3 linked regions of the Oreochromis niloticus genome follow. The protein of the gene in region 2 interacts with the protein of the main gene of each other region in a pairwise test. Links are inferred from orthologs where the notes say so. Each region holds a gene or a part of one and is shown on either strand. Other genes may lie near its edges.

Evidence for each region.
Region 1: the proteins of gorab (region 2) and rchy1 interact in a two-hybrid assay, tested with the Homo sapiens proteins (3 studies listed by BioGRID and IntAct). The link is inferred for Oreochromis niloticus from reciprocal best matches to the Homo sapiens genes GORAB and RCHY1.
Region 3: the proteins of gorab (region 2) and scyl1 interact in a two-hybrid assay, tested with the Homo sapiens proteins (2 studies listed by BioGRID and IntAct). The link is inferred for Oreochromis niloticus from reciprocal best matches to the Homo sapiens genes GORAB and SCYL1.

What each region holds. Positions count from the first base shown.
Region 1 is NC_031977.2:6,682,051-6,688,990, forward strand, and holds the start of rchy1 (RING finger and CHY zinc finger domain-containing protein 1), read right to left. Parts: upstream 3,106-6,940; 5' UTR 3,014-3,105; coding exon 2,963-3,013; intron 988-2,962; coding exon 868-987; intron 719-867; coding exon 603-718; intron 371-602; coding exon 292-370; intron 203-291; coding exon 158-202; intron 46-157; coding exon 1-45. UniProt on the Homo sapiens protein: E3 ubiquitin-protein ligase that mediates ubiquitination of target proteins, including p53/TP53, TP73, HDAC1 and CDKN1B. Mediates ubiquitination and degradation of p53/TP53; preferentially acts on tetrameric p53/TP53.
Region 2 is NC_031981.2:24,514,904-24,522,069, forward strand, and holds the start of gorab (RAB6-interacting golgin), read left to right. Parts: upstream 1-4,145; 5' UTR 4,146-4,276; coding exon 4,277-4,331; intron 4,332-4,445; coding exon 4,446-4,770; intron 4,771-6,571; coding exon 6,572-6,673; intron 6,674-6,816; coding exon 6,817-6,957; intron 6,958-7,166.
Region 3 is NC_031966.2:20,984,955-20,992,362, forward strand, and holds the start of scyl1 (N-terminal kinase-like protein), read left to right. Parts: upstream 1-4,405; 5' UTR 4,406-4,522; coding exon 4,523-4,630; intron 4,631-5,959; coding exon 5,960-6,100; intron 6,101-6,915; exon of another isoform or gene 6,916-6,922; coding exon of another isoform or gene 6,923-6,946; coding exon 6,947-7,069; intron 7,070-7,152; coding exon 7,153-7,379; intron 7,380-7,408. UniProt on the Homo sapiens protein: Regulates COPI-mediated retrograde protein traffic at the interface between the Golgi apparatus and the endoplasmic reticulum. Involved in the maintenance of the Golgi apparatus morphology.

The sequences.
Region 1 (6,940 bases), on a different chromosome or scaffold from region 2:
GCCACATGGAAGAACATGAGCTCCAATCCTGGATGTGTGAATATCCTGCATGAAAACAACATAAACAAAACAAAGAAATATATATTAAACTCTGGAGAAAATAGATTAAAAAAAGAGCCAACATCCTCCTCGCCTTGTATCCCATTAATGCTGTTACCTCCATGCAGACAGGACAGTTCTGCCTTGAAACATTTTCAACACACTGAAACATAAAAAATAAAGGGAAATTAAAACTGTGAGGGCTCAAAATACAGACAGATGTGGGTGAGTCAGGAACACAGCAATAGTCACCTTGTGGTTTCCTCGCAGTTCCTGAGCTAAACACAAATTGCACTTCTCGCAGTGAAAGTACTTCTCTCTGGGCCCAATCCTGTAGAGGCACATTTGAAAACTCACTAAATGACTAATTTTGCCATCACGTGTTTCGTGAACAGTGAAATATCAGCACAACAAAACACAACATTGTGATTATTAAAGAAAATGGGAAAATTTTGTGGGGAACATTAAGAAGACATTTCCCCAGTACCTGTATCATTATTACTACTAAAGTTACACATAGAAATATTTAGACACTTAAAACATATATCAAATCAGTTTCTTACCTGCAGATTCCACAGGGCTGACAGTGGTACTGCTTCTTGTCTTTGTCGAACAAGTGGCAAACGTCGCAGTAATACTCCCCAAACAGCAAATGACATTGCTGACAAGTCTGCTGTGTCTACAAAAGTATAACATTTGTACAGCTTTTTCCCTTCATCCGAGCTAACCATAATCAAAAGTACAACTCAAGCACTAAGGTGACATCGAGAGGTCCTGCTGTAACCGACGGTGGAGCTCAAACACGTTAACTAGCTTTTCCTCAGTTACCTGCTGCACCTTCAGACACGCTGAGCACTGCACCTCTCTGACTTTGAATCGATCCATCTGGTGGTTCTCCTCTGCATCGTGGCACAGCCGACACACATACAGTTTACCGCAGCAAGGTGCCTGCAGTACAGCAGAAACGCGATTACACAGGGCACAGACAGGGATGGGTATAGTAGTCCTATCACAGTTTGTGTAGCTGTAGCAATAACTCACTAAGCTGCTGTGTGTGTGTGTGTGTGTGTGTGTGTGTGTCTAAATGTAATCCTTATTCTGAAAATTCTTTATTAAACAGTGCTGACAAAGTTCAAGAGGAAGCTTGACACTGTCACAGCAATTGTGTGTGTGTCTGTAAATATTATATGCATGTGCATATATGATAAAACTTTAAGATTTCTCCCAAACAGCAGTACGTTACAGGAGCTCCTCTCTATTAAACAACTGAAAAAAAAAAATGCTCTGCTACTGGAAAGAAGTACAAATAATTAAATAACAATTAGCTGCGGTACACCCACCTTTATTTTACATATTTTACCTTATCAAACAAAAGCCGATGCTATATAACAAAACAACATTTATAAATTCCCCTGATAACTGGAGCTGTTTGGATTCTCATACCCAGGCTGCTGGCTTCTAGCTGACTGAACTCTGAACAGCTTTAGCTTTAGCCACTTTTTTTTAAAAAGTTATTTAAAATGTCCATGTTCAGCTACTAATCAAGTGTCTGATTAGGCGTGCTGTTATAAACGTCCTGGCTCACAGTGAGGAGCCTCCACACTAATGACACATTAGCATATTGCTGTGAGTGTGCATGGATGAGCCTGACCAGCCATTCGTGGGTTGGGACTGAGAATGCAATAAATAAATAAATTAATTAAATAATTAGTTAAAAATTGGCTGATCACGTCGTTGGCAGGTCAATCGGTGCACTTTTATCTGCAATTTAACTACAAACCAAAAATTAATAAAAATGTATGCTCTATTTATTCTAAATGAACTGCGATTCAAACAGAAATTAATAGAGGGGTTAAGCGGTTCATAAGCATCTGAGCCCCTGGTGCATTTCAGTGTTTGTGTGTGTGTCTGTGTGTGTGTGTGTGTGTAAGATGCACATATACAAGTCCTCCCGGATATGAAAGGTATCCTACCACTGTTCTGAATGCACAGACTACTTTGAAAGTTCGCAATATTTTGTGTTGTAAATGTTATTTGCAATTCAATTAACATTTAGAATAGTTAATTCAATTTATATTGATAGCTATATACTAAATAGCAGACTTAAGAATGTGTTATTTCTGATATTGCAGTGAGGACATGAGGATAAAATATATTTGTCACGTGTTGGGTACAAAAGGACATGATATCATGTGGCATCAGACGTTTTGGCTCCAAGACATAAAAAAAAGTACATTCTCCCTGCTGTTTGAAAATATAAAGATGAGTCATCCACTTATCAATGTCAGGTAGGCTGTTTACACACTTTAAATAGATCTGTACATCAAAATTTGGACACAATGTAAAAGATTTTAATATAAACAGCGTGTAAAGGTTACGTAATTAAAGTGTATATAAAATAAATGATTAATTCTCCACGCCTTTCCTTGACCTCCCCCCTGACGTTTTCTGTCAAGGTCAAGTACAACCGATTAGGAAAGCAACAATTTTAAATTCTATTCAGTTTTGTGCTCTTTTGTGCTAGATACATAAACTCTCATTCTTCTTATTTTCCAAATGTGAGAGGGAGCAAGCTTCCTAGTCTCCTCCGCGCGTAATTATGATGCGAAGGACTAAGACCGGAGGGAAGGAGGCGAGAAAAGCTCCAGAAACTCTCAAGCCCCTCGCTTCAACAATGCCGTGCAGATATTATACAAAATCATGCCGTCCAAAAAGTTCATTATTATTTAATCCTGTTACAGCGGCGTTTACCGGCTGAAGACTAAATGACTAGCTAGCTAGCTAACTATGACAGTCTCTCGCAGAGATATACCGACGACATAATCGTTATAGCACAGTTATAACTTGGCATATTCAAAGCCTATTTGCCTCCACCGTATATGTAAGGCAAATGTACGAACATATTTTAAATCATTTCACTCACTTTCAATAAGCAGCTGCGAATGTAATGATCACAACCAGCAGAAGCAGCCATGTTTACCCCGAAATGGAACGCTTCTTCTTCTCCCTCCGCTCTACAGCGTTGCGCTGTTGGCTCCTGCGCTGTTGGTTATGTCATCATTGAGGTTGCATTAGCGCCACCTCTGCTTCGGAATGTGAATTGCAGTCTGTACAAATCCTGTCCAATGACTCAAAACACAAAAAAGGAAAAACAAACACACACAAAATAAAAAAACAAAACAAAACAAACTATTTTATACAGTATTTTATTTCGCCCATAAATAGTGTCTCTTAAAGAACATTAAACATGTCCACACAACTTTAAGGTTCATTTTAGTCTAAAGAGCGATCTCCTTTTCAGCCTAACAGTGTTCACACAGACCAGCAAGATTCAATCTAAGTTAAAATATTCTTTTTCTGTATTAATTCCCTGCACTATCTACATGTCATATTTCTGAAATAATCTTGTTGTTTATAATATAGAATCCTCCTCTTTGCTTTAGTGTTGCACTTCCCTCACCACTGTGCACCAGACTTTTTCTGTGGCCTTTGATTTGCTTCTGAGTGTCTAAGCCTAATTTCCAAACCTCTTCATTCTTCTTTAGACCCATGACCACATAAACCCAATGAGCATGCCATGTTAAAAGAGCTGGGAGTGTGCTTCTAAATAAGATGTAAGGATTTTAGACTTTATGAACCGAAACAGAGCAGATTTAGAGGGTTTCTGGTTTATTTTGCTTGACCTCTATATGGACACAGCCTAGAATACCACACAATTTGGAATTTGCTTTATTCTGAACCCCTTTTTTTCAGCCGTTTTTAAAGTATTCATTTAAAAGTTTTGGAATGAGGATCAGCACCTCCAAATCTGAGGCCATGGTTCTCAGCCGGAAAAGGGTGGAGTGCCCACTCCGGGTCGGGGATGAGTTCCTGCCCCAAGTGGAGGAGTTCAAGTATCTCGGGGTCTTGTTAGCGAGTAATGGGAGAAGGGAGCCGGAGATCGACAGACGGATTGGTGCTGCGGCTGCAGTGATGCGGACGCTGCACCGGTCCGTCGTGGTGAAAAGGGAGCTGAGTGTAAAAGCGAAGCTCTCAATTTACCGGTCGATCTACGTCCCTACCCTCACCTATGGCCACGAGCTGTGGGTAGTGACCTAAAGAACGAGATCGCGGATACAAGCGGCAGAAATGAGCTTCCTCCCAAGGGTGGCTGGCCTCTCCCTTAGAGATAGGGTGAGAAGTTCAGCCATCCGGGAGGGGCTCAGAGTAGAGCCGCTGCTCCTCCACATCGAAAGGAGCCAGTTGAGGTGGTTCGGGCATCTGACAAGGATGCCTCCTGGGCGCCTCCTGGGTGAGGTGTTCCAGGCATGTCCCACCGGGAGGAGGCCCCGGGGCAGACCCAGGACACGCTGGAGAGATTACATCTCTCGGCTGGCCTGGGAGCGCCTTGGTGTTCCCCCGGATAAGCTGGAGGAGGTGGCTGGGGAGAGGGAGGTCTGGGCTTCCCTGCTTAGGCTACTGCCCCTGTGACCCGGCCTCGGATAAAGCGGATGAAGATGGATGGATGGATGGATGGACTCACATAGTAAATATTTCATTTCCAGAAGGCCCATCATGAGTATTTACTATTTTCATCCATAAATGTATTATCTTAGTGTTGAAAAGAATAAGGCCGCCTCAAGGAACTCAGTTTTTACAACACTGATTTTAGGTGGGATCAGCTGAATATGTTTTCAGTACAGTATTGACATATAGTATTGCATCACTACAAGTAAGACAATAACCCAAAACCAGTGATTCTCATTATACATGTTCAACAGCTGTGCATGAATTATACTCAATACATGGATCCTGACCAAGCAATTATCCAATATACTCAGCTGATATTGATCTATCATAGGTGTACACTTAGATTAATATGTTTTTGGACAATGACACATTTAATGTAATTTTGTGAATGAAGACAAAGATTAAAGCAGAGAAACCCACAAACAAGCAGCAACTGTAGTAAACATCCGGCACAGCATTTAGTGATGCCTATGACTTATAGACTCAAGGTAATTATTGAATGGAAATCATTTTCATCCACTCATTAATGACAATTCATACATTTAAGTTTATGTTAGTGTGTCCAACTATGTTTTGAACCATAAAATGGGGGACTGACATTAAAATGAAATGTCTCAGTAATGAATGGTTAATACAACACTTTTGTAAAACCCTTTAAATTAAAGCCTGTACATCAGTCGCTGGTCCACTGGTGTTCAGAAGCAAAATTACAAAAGACTGTGCAATTGTTCAACTACTTATCAACCTAATTCTGACTGTATTGGTGAATATTTTGCAATAATTTTCTCAATATGATTTTTTTTAACATAGCATAATTTCAAAAGAGCAAGGGTGAACTCAGGTAAATTGGGGCACTTTGGTAAATCACCTGAGATGCTGAGAAAAAAACCTATGAATGACATTTAACTGTTGTTATATATCCCCTCTCGCCCCTGCAGGGTCCTCTACCAGAGGCCTGGGAGCTTCAGGGTCCTGCTCAGTATCTTAGCTGTTCCCAGGACTGCGCTCTTCTGGACAGAGATCTCGGATGTTGTATGTTGTTCCTGGGATCTGCAGGAGCCACTCGCCTAGCTTGGGAGTCACCGCACCTAGTGCTCCGATTACCACTGGGACCACTGTTACCTTCAACCTCCACATCTTCTCCAGCTCTTCTCTGAGCCCTTGGTACTTCTCAAGGTTCTCGTGTTCCTTCTTCCTGATGTTGTTGTCATTTGGTATCGCTACATCTATCACTACGGCCGTCTTCTTCTGCCACCACTATGTTCGGTTGTTTAGCCACCACCATTTTGTCTGTCTGTATCTGGAAGTCCCACAGGATCTTAGCTTGGTCATTCTCCATCACCCTTGGGGGCGTCTCCCATTTTGACCTCAGGACTTCCAGGCCATATTCGGCACTTGGCACAGATGTTTCTGTATACTATGCCGGCCACTTGGTTATGGCGTTCCATGTATGCCCTGCCTGCTAGCATCTTGCACCCTGCTGTTATGTGCTGGATTGTCTCAGGGGCATCTTTACACAGCCTGCATTTGGGGTCTTGCCTGGTGTGATAGACCCCAGCCTCTATGGATCTTGTACTCAGAGCTTGTTCTTGTGCTGCCATGATTAGTGCCTCTGTGCTGTCTTTCAGTCCAGCTTTGTCCAGCCACTGGTAGGATTTCTGGATGTCACCCACTTCCGCTATCTGCTGGTGGTACATACTGTACAGAAGCCTGTCCTTCCATGATGGTTCCTCCTCTTCCTCCTCTTTCTTGGGTTTCTGCTGCCTGAGGTATTCACTGAGCACACGGGGGCCATCTTCCAGATGTATTCATGGATGTTCGTTGTCTCATCCTGGACCATAGTGTTGACACTCACTTCTCCCCGGCCTCCTTCCTTCTGCTTAGCTTACAGCCTCAGTGTGCTGACTTGGGGTGAAACCCTCCATACATGGTCAGGAGCTTCCTTGTCTTGATGTCAGTGGCTTATATCTCCTCCTTTGGCCAGCTTATTATCCCAACAGGGTACCTGATCACGGGCAGGGCGTAGGTATTGATGGCCCAGATCTTGTTCTTACTGTTCAGCTGACTCCTCAGGACTTGCCTGACCCTCTGCAGGTACTTGGTGGTTGCAGCTTTCCTAGTGGCCTCTTCATGGTTTCCATTTGCCTGTGGGATACTCAGGTAGTTGTAGCTGTCCTCAGTGTCTGCAATGTTGCCTTCTGGTAGTTTGATCCTCTCAGTTCTGATTACCTTCCTTGTCTTTGTTATCATCCGACTACATTTCTCCAGTCTGAACGACATTCTGATGTTGTTGGTGTATATCTTGGTGATGTGGATGAGTAAATCAATGTCTCATTCACTCTTGGCATACACCTTGATGTCATCTATGTAGAGGAGGTGACTTATTATTTTC
Region 2 (7,166 bases):
ACGTGGACAACAGAACTGAAATGGTGAACTTCTGAACTGAGTGAAGTCATTCTGGTAACCTCCAATTGCCATTCTCTTTTATCACTACTATCCATTCATACGAGGTATTTAGATGCTTCCTCCACCTCTAACCTTAAACTGCCTCTACAGGTCATCTCAGTAATGAGCCATCTGGTCCTTCCTTCCTAATCAGCTATCCAAGGCTGTCTCATCCTCAGCCCAACACACTTTGAGCCCAGAGTTATTCTCTCCTTGCCATCTGGCCTCCATACCCAGCTCTGTCTTAACTCTGTCGGCGATTTATGCCCTCCTGAGGTGTTTCGCCTTTTAACTTGCACATAATTGGCCCCCAGGTGAAAAAAATGATGTGAATGCCAGTTTTTATTAGTTGCCAGGCAGGGGTCATTGTTTTTACACCATTCTTCTCCTCACCAATGACAAGGAAAAAACTGCCGTTACACTGGCTAAACGGAAAACCCTGTGCTATGTAAAATTCAAATCATAATGAGTACAGTAAAGCAATTAAAACCAAAAATGTGGATCCAGGTCTTTTCAGGGCAGTTCTGAAATTCTTTTCTTGCCCTGCCTGCAGTCAACAGGCCACTGCATTCACCTTCACCATGACTCACTCATTATATTATATTCAATTCAATTCAATTCATTTTATTTATGGAGTGCCAAATCACAACAGTTGCCTCAAGGCGCTTCAAATTGTAAGGCAAAGGCCCTGCAATGATAGACAGAAACGACCCACTCTGAGCAAGCACTTTAGCGACAGTGAGAAGGAAATAGGTACTCCTTTTTAACAAGAAGAAACCTTTGGCAGAACCAGTCTCAGAGAGGGGCAGCCATCTACCATGACTGGTTGGGAGCGATGGGGGAAAGACAGAATAAGAGGCACACTGTTAAAGAGGGATTAATAATAATTAATGACTAAATTCAGACTGGTGTATAAAACACAGCGACTGAAAAAGGTGAGTGAAGAAGAAATACTCATCAAGGCAACAGCCTAAACCTATTGCAGTGTAACTAAGGGGGGATTCAAGGTCAACTGATCTAGACGTAACCATATGCTTTAGAAACAAAGGAAAGTTTTAAGCCTAATTTTAAAAAGTAGAAAGCGTGTCTGTCTCTCAAGTCCAAACTGGGATCTGGTTCCACAGAAGAGGGCCTGAAAGCTGGAGGCTCTGCCTCCCATTCTACTTTTAAGTAAGTCCACAGTGTGAGAGCGAAGTGCTCTTAGGGAATGTTTGAGATTAAAAGGAAGGTTCAAGATTGGCCTATAACTAAAGATAAACATAAGATAAAGTCTCCTTAATTGTCGCTGTACTTGGGTAGTGAAATTGGAGGAGAGCTTACGTTTCAGCAGACTACCATACATACATTCTTACTTGGTTACACTCATCATTCATCCATGAAATTAGATAATACAATAATATAGCAAATATAATAAGATAGTAAAAATAAAAGTATAAGTATACATAAATATAGTTCTGCTAAAAAAGGATATTGCACAGCTTGCCACGCACTCTGGTTTCCCATCAGATTACTGCCAAAGACCTACAGTTTATCCACAACGCACATGCGCAAACTACAAGAGAGAAGCTGCTGGCCTCTCCGCTAGCCCCCAGTCATTGTCAGCTGTGCCTGGATACATCCTCAGCGACAGAGACAATTACATTTTTCTATAAGATTGAATTAAGCACAGCTTTCAGCGACGTGTAAACGATGGATGCACATATTAAGTGAAGGGGGATGAGCTTTATTGCAGCGCTGTCTGAGATAAAAGGAGAGAGATCGCTTTACTTCGGAACGTTTTCATTCATGACTATTTTTAGATTTGACGCTTGTCCTGACTGAACCTGGTTTAATTACTGCCACCTTACAGACATGTGGTATGTAGGCCATTAATAGAAAGACTGATATTTAAGATCAAAGTGTTAATTAATGGTAGGACTTTGAGTGTGAACATGATTGTTTTTTTCTCTAATTGTTAATTTGTTTTTCTTGAAGAAATGTATTAAGTCACAACTAGTTACTGTGAAAGGAAAGTTCAAAAGAGCTCTAACTCTTTGACACCCGGGTTATAGTTCTGAAGAGAAACATGGGGTTATTCTTCATTTCTTGAATCAGTGATACAAGTAAGATGTCCCAGCTTTAGGAAGGCCTTTGTTGTTGTTGTTGTTTTTTGTTTGTTTGTTTATGGAGCAACAAACTCTTTTTCTGGGCTAAATAAAGATCTTCTAATTTTGTGAGATGCCATTTCCTCTCTAGCTTACTGGTTGTCAGCTGTAAGGTGCACGTTTGAGGGACTCAAGTACTTTTGATTTGAAGCTTTATTTTTCAGAGGAGCCACAGTATCAAGGGTCGTATGCAGTGAGGATGTAGCACTACTAATGAGATAAATGACTTCTGGGGTAGTTGTTCTGTACTGTGTCAGCACATGGTATTGAAGAGGGTAACATGCCTACTGTGCTGAAATGTATTCCCCACTGCTGTGTGAATTTTAAAATGTTATTAAGAGAGTATAGCCCTGTAGACTTGTACATCTTACTGAGGTAAACTCTGAATTAATAAATGCATTGCATGGCTGTAGATACTTCAATGAAAGTGTTCTTCATTTGGTGAGATATTTTCAGGAGTGTTTTTTCCCCCAGAGAAGAGAAAAGGAACCTGTAATCATCCACTTCAGTTGCCTTCCATAGCATTCCCATTCATTGAACTTGCAAGTGCATTCTTTAATTTTAGGAACTAATCAAATTGTTGTATAAAGTTCTAAAAGTTTCCACTAGCTCTCAGTTTCGTTTTGTTTCGTTTTGTGATAAATAATGCATCCTAGGATGTGTGTGTGTGTGTGTGTGTGTGTGTGTAAAAATCAATTAATTAGTCAACAACACTTAATGACAGTGTTGGGAAGGTTACTTTTAAAATGTATTCCATTACAGAATACTGAATACATGCCCCAAAATGTATTCTGTAACGTATTCCGTTACGTTACTCAATGAGAGTAACGTATTCTGAATACTTTGGTTTACTTAATATATTATCATGCTGTTTACAACTACGTGAATGTCCTATTGCTGTGATTTATTACTGTTACTGAAGGTCCGCGGCTCCGAACCGTAGTAAAGGGACCTCTGGCTAATACGGTGGGTTCCGTGTCGGGCTGGTAGCCGAAAACTAGCTTTACTTTGTTGTCTGGGTCAACTTTGCTTGCCAGAGACAGAGAGAGGCGTTGAAAGGCTGCTCCAACAGAACTTATTTTTTTCCGGAGGAAAACACGAACACAGTGTACAGTCGAGTCTTAAAATAGCTTACTTACAAATGGGCTCGTCAGGCACTCTTCTTGGCTGCAGTGGTTATTATTATATTTACATGCTTCCAGCTCCCGTTTTTGCTCCGTGACAGCTCGGACTTCCTTTCTCTCCCTCCCTCGCTCACAGACACATAACGGGTATGGTAGTCCATTCTCCCTGCAGCACGGACTACACTGCCCATCATGCTACATTCTTTAGAGCTATGCCTGTAGCACTCTGCCTATTAGCTTAGCACAACAACAACAACAAAAAAGCGCTCTCTCACCCAGGAAACACGCAGAGAGAGAGCGTCACCCTGTAACCATGGCAACCGTAACGCTGCCGCCTGGAACAACAGAACGTAGCTGTCAAACAAACCCAAATAATCCTGACCCGCGACAATATGAAACAGGGAAGTACCGCCGTGTAATCCATTTATTTCAACAAAGTAACTGTATTCTGAATACCACCTTTTTAAACGGTAACTGTAACGGAATACAGTTACTCATATTTTGTATTCTAAATACGTAACGGCGGTACATGTATTCCGTTACTCCCCAACACTGCTTAATGACTATCAAGCCACAAGCACAGAGCACAAGAACATTTTCAGTCTGTTGATCGGGTGTTCAGAACTTTGCCTTTTATATATTTTTTATACCAGTTGCGAAGATAAATAAAATACCTAGAAGCACATTTTAAGCTCATCAACGTATAATTATCTGGAGGATATACTGCTATTATTATTGTTGATTATCTCAATTAGATTTCAAGTTAGTTCGTTCTTCTTCGTTGATTTAATTCAGGCGATATGCAGGACTTCAATTTCGTGGGTCTTTTTGGGGTCCTTGACGTGGCATTAATAAACAAAGATGGCGGTGGCGTTTACACCTTCGTTGAATTTTACTCTGAATTAAAAACTTTGTAGTCTTAAGTAATTGGAGTATTTCCTACATGTGTCTCGTTAGTCGAGTTGCAAAATGAGCGGTTGGGCCGGTTTTTCAGACGAGGAGCTGCGCAGGATACAGCAGAAAGGTAAGTTAATCTTTCTTGCTGCTAGTGAGAGACGAAGCACTCAGCACTTCACTCTGATATTTTATTCCTACTTCTTTACTGTAGTAGTAACCATGGTCACGTGTCCTTTTTCAGACTCTACTGTATCTGCACCTCCAGTCCGGGGTCGAAAACCGGCTTCAGGTAACCGGAGTCGGCAGCAGTTGCAGCGAGAAAGAGCCCTGCAGTCAGCAGCCCAAAAAAGCACAGGAGCCGAGTCACTTGTTCTTTCACCCGAACAACAACTCACCAAACCGTCCCCGAGGGAAGAGCCTAAACCCACAGCCCCGGCGACAACACCCACTGTCAAACAAGAGGTGCAGCAGGAGCCCGCTATAATGAAGCCCAATGAAAACGACCAACCGACAACAGAAGAAGAAACCCCAGTGGTTAAAGAGCTGGATAAGCAAGAGATTGAATTGTTAGTATGATTTTGTTCTCACGTGCACTGTAAAGATGACAGGTACACTGACCAATATTTACATAGTAGGTGTAATACCAGGGTAGCAAACATGCACAAACATGCATTGTGTGTTTTCATGCACACGCTGGGCCATTCTGTGCTCTTCTTTGAGACTGTATCAGAGTGAATCTAAATATACAAATAGATCCAACATTTCTTGGACAAAAACACATTTTTTGTAGTTTTACCACAAAGGATTTTAAAACAACCAAGATGTGATTGAAGGGCAGATCTTCAGCTTTGATTAATTATCATCAACTGTTTAGAAACCGTACCCATTTTTATGCATTGTCCCCCATATTCTAAGGCTCAAAAGTATTTGGAGAAATTTAATTTTAAATATAAGGATAATTTTTTATAAGTTGAAACAGTCTTCCTGCATATTTTTATCTTTTGGTCTTTCTGATACAAATTCATGTTGATTTTATTTAGCGAAAGAATTAATTTTCAGCATTAGGCAGTCTCTTTCAGATGGGTTTTTGGTAAAGTCTATTCTGGTCTTCTTGTTCTTGAATGTAACTAGTAGTTTGCACTTGCTGTAAACCTTGGCATTTCCCCACATAAAAGTACCTCTTGATTTTAGACTTTGATAATGATACCCACCTCCTCGGGAGTGTTCTTGACTTTGTTAGAGGTATGCAATGTCCCCTTTATAATGTAGTACCGAATGGGTTATCACATGACTCGTCCGGCCAGGAAATGTTGACATTTTTGAATGTTGACATTCAGTCGTGACATTGATTTGAGATCATATCAAATCAGTTAATGCGTCTAGTTAATGCAGTCTATCTGGGTGAGAAACAAAACTTTAACTTACCACAGTAGATGGCTCCTCTCTGCCCTACTTTGCTGCTGGATGCATAGCACTCATCAGTGCTGTATCAATGTTTAGTTAATGTTCTAGTGGAACATAAAAGTGATGGTTGTGGAAAATAAACGCCTTTGCTTCTGTATAGACAAATCATTGGAAATTATTGATTTCCAGCACACAGGACTTGTCAGGGTATCCTGTCATTGTAACAGTGGCTGTGGATCCTTTGGTTCCTGTGGGTTTCCAAAATATGGCCTCTATGGAACAGACTTCTTTCAGATTTGGAACAGATTTAGATGTGGGTAGTTTGGGAGACCTGCAAAAACCTCTGGGTTCTTTGTCCTGCTCCTTTAACGCTTCCTGAGCAGTTTCTTTACACTGTAAGGGTTGAACAGTGTAAAGAAACTGCTCAGGAAGCATTAAAGGAGCCCACCCCCTCACGGAGGGGGTGGGCCTTGGTTGGCAGTGTTGGTTGGTGGGTGATGTAGATCAAAGCGATAACCAAAAGAATGATGCATCATTCTTGTGGATATCTTTGGCTGTCAAAGCAATCATAGTATATGATCCATGTGATTTGAGTGCTGTATAAATGACAGTGCTGTCAGTCTTGTACATGTGGCTCACATTTCAGTTAAATTTATGCATACTACCTCAGCACTGTCCACATCTTACTCAATTTCCCTCTGGGATGAATAAGGTTTCTCTGATTCAGATTCTGATCTCCACCAGATACTTGGGGAAAAAAGGGAATCAGAATATCAACACACAGTGATTAAATCTTACAAATAATAATTTGCCAAACCCATACCATAGGGTGCTGTTGTGTTTGTAAATTTGAATTATTTTGAAAGACACTGTTCCTTTCATAATGCTGATGTTTTTTGTTTGGTCTTTCTGAGATGAAATTGCAAATGTATTTGTTTAAATTCTCATTTTGTGTGATGGCAGACGGGAAAAGACACGTCTGGAGCAACTTCAGCAAGAGCAGAAAATCATCGAAGAGAGAAACAAACGCAAGAAAGCTCTGCTGGCAAAAACTATCGCTGAGAAGTAAGTATATGTAGTTTGGTGCTCCCTAGAATACCAAGTCAACATGATGAATATAAATGGGCCTCAAAACTGCAAAGATTAAGGTCAAGGTAAAAACAACAAAAAAACCCCAATATGTATGAATGGTTTATTATTTTCCACAGATCCAAACAGACTCAGGAAGAGACTGTAAAGCTAAAGAGAATCCAGAAAGAGCTGCAAGCCCTCGACGACATGGTGTCTAATGACATTGGCATCCTGAGAGGAAAGATAGAGCAAGCCAGTTGGGACTACACAGCTGCAAGGTAGACTTAACATCAGGAAAAAAATATTTAAAAAAGTGTCAGTAAACCTTTTTCCACAGCTGACATGAATTTGTTACAATACTGAAAGCACAGATGGTTTTTGATGACTTCATGGCCCACCGGTACACTTAAGCCCACATTCACACCTGGTACCTGTGATCCAGTCACCTTAGTTAGGTCACACCTTAGGCATTAGAATGCATCCACAC
Region 3 (7,408 bases), on a different chromosome or scaffold from region 2:
AACCGCGCAACTGTGCGAAGTTTCAAAATTTAAGCAGCTGAGGAAAGCTGCGCATGGTGCGGCTTAATTTGGTCTGAAATGCAGCGCAAATGTGCTGCCTTAGATTCTTTTGTGCTATGGTTGTGGTTGGGCGTATCCCTACACTTCTCTTCACAGAACTCACAGTGCAAGACTGGTACAAGCACGAGTCAAGTCCTAACCCGGAGCATGTAGTAAGCTGTTGGCTTTACTTGTCAAAACTTCTGCAATGTTGTAGTTGACAAAATGACATCTTGGAACTGGCTTTATGTTAACCTCAAATCATCAGTAACAATGCTTTACTAGCTTATTCCTCTTTGGCCTTGGGGCCCTATTGCTTTGCATCTTAAAACCATAAGATGAGTAGAACCCGAATCTTTGAGTATTGTGTGGTGGGTGTGTTGTGTAGATCACTCTTTGTTTCAGATCATTCTCGTCTGTCCACTCCGATCTCGCCTGCCTCTGAATGCAAAGCCATCTGTGGAAGCTGTCAGCGATATGAGTGTGGCCCCTGAATGAAGTACCAATCCCCTGTGCGCTTGAGCTTAAATCTGAACCCCTGACGTCCTTCGCAGAAGCCCCCGCTCTGTGTTTGTGTGCCTTTTTCTTTCCCTTTGGTTTCTCAGGTCAAATTACCCCAAATTCTTAATTTTTCATCTGGGATGGCCTAACCTGTGATGGAACACTGAGAATCCAGTCACATTAAGATCAAGAGCTGCAAGCTTGTTTTCGCTAATACTGCATCACTTCAGTCTCGTGGGTGCTAAGTTAAGTAATTTCGGTTCCCTTGATTTTTCTTTAACATACCATGGCTTTAATGTGTAACTCAACATGTTGCATGCACATCAGCTATGCATAACATTTTATTTGTAAAACAATGTTCATAAAGTCGTTGTCAAACATTGCAGTAGTATTATGGTTAGGAGGGTCTGGGGGGGGCGCAAACACTCTTCTTTCTCCCTTTCAGATTTCTCATTCAGCTTATCTTGCTACTGAACCAGACAGCTTAAAGGTCTGCAGGGAGTCATTGGATCACTTGGTACTGCCAGCCTCTAGGGTTCATTTAATACATTGAAGAGCTGAGCATCAGAGGAAGAATAGCTGTGGTAAATGCTGCATCAGCTGTGGTAAACTACAACCATATTGATAAATTCAATCTCCCATCATATTGGATGAGTCTTGGTACAAGTGTGGGGTTTGGGTGGGGTGGGGGGGGCTTAAATTGTCTGTCTTTTTTCCCATTACAGCCATAAAATTGGCAAGAAAGCCTTCACTGTCAGTTGACCCGCGAGTCCTGCTGAATTGCAGAAGGGAAAATCGCTTTGACAAGGGATTCTGGTATCGTGGCTTTATTATGGCTAAACGGATTTCGTGGAATAATACACCAATACAGTGTCGCTGTGGGGAATTTTGGGGATTGGGGAAACCAGATGTCTCTCTCTGTTCTAGTTTCAGCCTCGTGACCAAGAGAATCCCCGTGTGGTGACAGCATAATTAGCATCCAGGTGTCGGGTTTTCTTTTCCTGGAAGAACAAATTGTTTTGTTCTTCCAGGTTTTGCTTTTGCCCTAACTAGCAAAAACAAAAAGCAAAAGACTCCGGTGGTGGCACTCCTGACTCTGTCGGGACGGGGTTCAATTCCCTGCGGTGTCTTGCTTTTTTAAATAAGCTTTGTGGGGCTGAAAGTATATTTAATAACACTTCGACTTAAATATGCATTCCATAAAAGGACAATGTCTGGGTGGGGAAAATATTTGAGTGGAAATGATCAATAAAACTTTAAAACCATGTCTCTGTTTTTGTCTCTGTTCTATAAATAATTGCATCAATATTCTGTAAATGACTTGATGAGGTGGGCATAATGGACAAAGAATACTCAACATTGTATCCAAGATGTCCTGTGATGATTGGCAACAGTTTTATAAACCTCCTTTTGCAGTCTGTGTCCTGGACACTACCCTTCTTGAGGTCCCTATCACATGATAACAAATGGAAGAGGGGAGGTCAGGAAAGAAGACCTGAGGGCAGCAGGCATCCAACAAGTCATCCTTGCTCTGGATCCACTTTAGTACAGCAGCATAAAACAGTCCAGCTATTGCTGTATGTGATGATCTCAGCTCTTCTATGAGATGACTATGTACAGTGTCATGAACAATTAAAACCTCTAAAGTAGCATTTTACTATACATGTATGTTTGTTTTTTTTGGGGGGGGGGGGTGTTTTTATTGAATGACACTGAAGAGCAGGATGTCTGATCAAGCTTAAAAGAAGGTATGAATAAGGAAAAGTTATTTGTAGACTTCAGCTATGTTTTGTTGGGGAGGGGTGTGTCACAACCTCAACTAACTTATTTTCATGCTCATCAGGCAAATGGCAATAAAGGAAAGTGATGTCAAACCTTAAACAGTTTAATTAGTTGGATACATGGGAATGTTTCATACTACACACAAATATGCAAACAAAGAATTTCATATTGTATCCTTGGGTATTTTATTACTTGTGGCCTGTGACAAATCACATTTGTTTCTTTCATTGAATCTACTGAAAATAACAGTTTGAGAGGTATAAAATATTTTTGCATTAACAAGGTATTTTAAGATTATGCTTAAAACTTTCCTTTTTAAAAAAAGCTTATAGTTAAGGTTGCATCAGTTTACCCTTCCTGTTAAAAAGGTGTTTTTCCTTCCCACCATTGTTTGTAACGGGTCATCTGATTGTTGAAGTTTATGGTTTGTATATATTGTAGAGTTTCTACATTACGATATAATGTGTATTGAGGTGACTGTTTTTGTGAATTGGTTCGTATACATAAAATGTACTTTTAAAAAAACTCAGAATGGTGTGCATTGTGTGTATCTTTAAAACATTTTTGTAAAATGGACAAGTGGAGGACAAAAGAAGTCATCTCAAGCATAGAAAATATCCACAGTAGATGAAGACTAAAGTCACATTCTGAAGAAATAAAAACAATCCAGCAAAGACCTAAAATTGGACTCTAGAGATCATCAGACCCTTCAGATGATCCATTCACTGTTTGATAAAGTCTCATCAGAAATAGGTACTCAGGGGTACAACAGTGAGGGTCTACAGCACAGGTGTCGAACTCCAGGCCTCGAGGGCCGGTGTCCTGCAGGTTTTAGATGTGTCCTTGATCCAACACAGCTGATTCAAATGGCTAAATTACCTCCTCAATGTGTCTTGCAGTTATCCAGAAGCCTGGTAATGAACTAATCATTTGATTCAGGTGTGTTGACTCAGGGTGTTATCTAAAACCTGCAGGACACCGGCCCTCGAGGCCTGGAGTTCGACACCCCTGGTCTACAGCCATCTGTAAAACACGGTGGAGGCTGTGTCAGGGTTTGGAGCAGCAGTTCAGTCAGTGGTGTTGGAATTCTTGTCGAAACTGATGGAAATATGAAGACAAAGTGTCATCACAGTTTAATTTAATATGCAGTTGTACATAGAAAGCATCTGATTGGCAACAGCTTAATTTTTTAGCATGACAATGATCCCAAACAAACTGCCAATGCAGTAAAAGACAAAGCAGTTGACTAAGAGAGTTCAAGCTGTGTTGAAGAATAAAGATGTGCATTAGAAATGTACAGAAATCTGTTTTTGTCTCATAAGCTGTGTTTCAATGTATATGTGTAGTTCTTAAAATAGAATTAAAATTTTGTAACATATACCTATTTTTGTAGAGAAATATAAGGAAACAAAGAGTGGCCCAAGACTTTTTGCACACTAATAATGTATTTGATCTATTTGTTCTGTTTTTAACAGATGAGGTTTATGGTCCAAGTCCTGTCTGAGCTGAAAAAAGGTGCACTACGTTTACTTGCTCTCTTCACATTTACATTGCATCTAATAAAAGGCAACACTCAAAAAATTATCTTATAAAAAATATATCAGAGACATACGCTGAGTAAGGATGTCAGCTTTGACTTTTGATTTTTTTTTTTTTCATACTTATCAGATCTTAAAAGTCAAACTGATTTAGCGGTAGATGGCTCTGATTCTGACCAAGGAAATCAGCTTGGCATGGTCAGTAACTTCCTTTAAGGCACGTCTAAGAACACATATTTTTATGGAACTTTATTGCCCTTCATATTTTTTTAAGGATTTAATTAGTTTGGTTGCCCCTGTGAAGCACGTTTTAATTTGTAATAGAAAAGTATTCGTTTGAGTTTATATTTTGCTACACGTATTGTAAACGTTTTTTGGACAGGTGACGTTGTTTTCATCGACATTATTTTATTACTACCCAAAGTTCAGTTTGAGGCTTTAATTTAGTGAGAGAACGAGTGAGGGGAATTTATACATAATAAATTAAGTCTTTTATATATATTTTTTTCACAGCAACCTGAGTAAGCTTAACTTCTTGTGGAACTAATAGGCAGAAACGACGTTTCCGCGGAGTCATTTTACATCCGTGCCAGTCGCTAGCTAGCAGCACTGTGTAGTTCACCTGTCGCTGTTTGTTTGATGAAGTGCGGAGCTAAGGGGAGATGTGGTCCTTTTTCGCTAGGGATCCCGTGAAAGACTTTGCGTATGAACTTCTCCCAGACAGCCAAGAAAAGTCCGGAATATGGACTCTACACCGGGGAAAGCGAAAGGTAAAAGCGGCAGCCTGCTGCTGCTGATGCACTAGCAGTCAGCGTTAGCTCGCTCGGTTATGGGGCCTGCCAATAAGCTGACAAGTCAGCTTTAGAGCTTGATTTAGCCTTCAGATTAAATGTCAGCTCTGTTAGCGTTTTTCGGGTGTTTTTCATTCATTCAATCAATCAGTCAGTCTTGGTAGTCATGTATTTTTTTTATTTTTATTTTTTTATTTTTTGCTTGGTCTGTCTGTCTGTCTGATAATTGTCGCTGACTAGCCTAGCTCAGGCTTTTTGTTTACTCCCGGAGGCAGACACGTATTTCTCGCCACGTCACCCGTTTTAGCCGAGTAACGGCTCTTATTTGAGCTGTTTTAAAGTTAATGCTTTATTTCAGGAATAAAAGATTCCGTCTTAACTGCAGACAGCACTGCATATAACCCACTGCTTCATTATTATCACCGAGAAGCGGAAAGCTATAATCTCAGTGTCATCATCTTCACCGCGGGCAGCCGAGCCCAAACTTCCTACTTTCATCATCCTCAGTCACATTAAATGTCTTTTCAGAATTCTGTATACAGTATTGACAGTTGCTGCTTACTGGTAATATTTTCTGCACGATGGCTACATTTATATCTATATTTAATACAGCACAGATGTAAGGCCACCATACTGTTCACATCAGTCCGATAAAATGGGAGCGTTGGTGTAAATTAAGCTAGTACATAATTTACCCTAATTTCTGGAATTTTGATTGTAGGGTGAATGTAGATTTTTTTTCCCATTATAATTGCTTAAATATAGCTATAATAATATTACCTGTAAATCTATAACACCAGTGATATATTACAATGGAAGGAAAATGGGAGTAGTCTGTTTGCAGAGGATAGCTTTACTTCAGATTAATTTAGTTTTATTTGTATAGCGCCAAATGACAACAACAGTGGCCTCAAAGTGCTTTACAATGTAAGGTAAAGACCCTATGATATTAGAGAAAAAACCCAGCAATCAGATGATCCCCTGTGTGCTGTACTTGGCTACAGTGTGAAGAAAGAAATGTCCGGCAGAACCAGGCTCAGGGTGGGGCAGCCATCTGCCATGATCAGTTAAAGCTGAAGAAAAAGAGAAGAGAATGGATAAAGTAGAGTATAAAGAGAACAGGGTAAAACAGAAAATACTGGAGAGACACAAAATTAAATGACATGCAAGTAGTGATGTCTGTTAGTAACATGCATACTCAAGTTGGAGTAAAATTTTAGACTTGGACTACACCCACAAAATATTGACTTAATTAAGAGTGATGGAGTAATTATAACTTGCTGCTCTTACTCCAATCTTTCTCCTCAGACCACTGGAGAGCCAGTGTCTGTGTTTGTATACGAGGTGGCTCAGGGCACAGAGCAGCAGACCCAGCTCGCCAAGGCTGCCTTCAAGCGTATGAAGACCCTGCGTCACCCTAACATCCTGGCCTATGTTGATGGGTTGGAGGTATGTATTTTATTGTGACTTAAATTTAACAGAAACCACTTTTCTTTAAACACACTTTTCTTGATATTTAGAGCTGAGATTCCATGTTTTGCTGTAACTGTCATATAATTAGTTGTGTCTCATTTCCGTCATCTGCTCTTCTCTGCATATTAAACATTAAGACAGAGGTGAGTGGGAATAGGCTCCTGTAGGCTTGTAGTAGTTTTGTAGTAGTTATAGTGAGTGAAGTAGCAGACAATTACAGAGCTTTCTCTTTGGATTTTAATGAGAGTATAATTGATACACTATTCACTATTAGCTCAACTAAGAATATGATTTTACCCTTTCATCTGGAGAATCTGTCCAAGGAATATGACCAGCAAACCGTACAGCATTAGCTAATCATTTATTTAACCAGGAAGTCTTTTGAGAGGAAACATCTTTCACAAAGACACCTGGCAATGAAAGTACACAATGACAAGGTTGGAAAACAATACAATCAAGCGGAGGAAAAACAGTCAGTAGACAAGAACAGAGCACGTGGAAGAACTGGTACATAATCAAATATCCAGCAAAGCAATAGTAGTCGCTTTTTCTTCTAAAATATCTGTGATCTGAACTCTCCAATATTCAGTAAATTTAGTATTAATTTATAGCATGTTTTTAATAGAGATCTGATGGAAAAATGCTGTGATGTATAAATGTGCTGTGCATATGATGGATAAATGCAAAAACTGGTGTGGAAAAGCTGTTTTCCTATGTCAAGTTACTCTTTAATGCAGTGACATAGAATAGTTTTGAAGTATAGTTTTGCTTTTATTTTTTTCCTTTCTTAGTTGATTGATGAGCTTGGTGTGGTTGTTACAGACAGAGAAGAGCCTCTACCTGGTTACTGAGCAGGTTACACCCCTGGCAGTCCATCTGAAGGCACGGGCAGAGAAGGGTGGTGTTGGGGAACTGGAGATCTCATGGGGACTCCACCAGATAGTGGTAAGGACAGGAGAGTTGAGCTGTTTGTGGCAGCTGTCCTCTATTAGTCGTTTCTCACCGTCTCTACCTCTGTTTGCTTACAGAAAGCTCTAAGTTTTCTCATCAATGACTGCCATCTGCTCCATAACAACCTGGGCATATGGGCTGTTTTTGTGGATCGAGCTGGAGAGTGGAAGCTAGGAGCCCTCGACCATGTGGTCCCTGAGCAGGGAGACCCAAGTGGGGTCTCGCTCCCTGCACCAAAGGCAGTTTACCCAGACATGGAGAAATATGACCCACCGGAGATGTCTAACAGCAGTGGAGAGAAATGGTGAGTGTGACATTTAGAGGAAAACTACC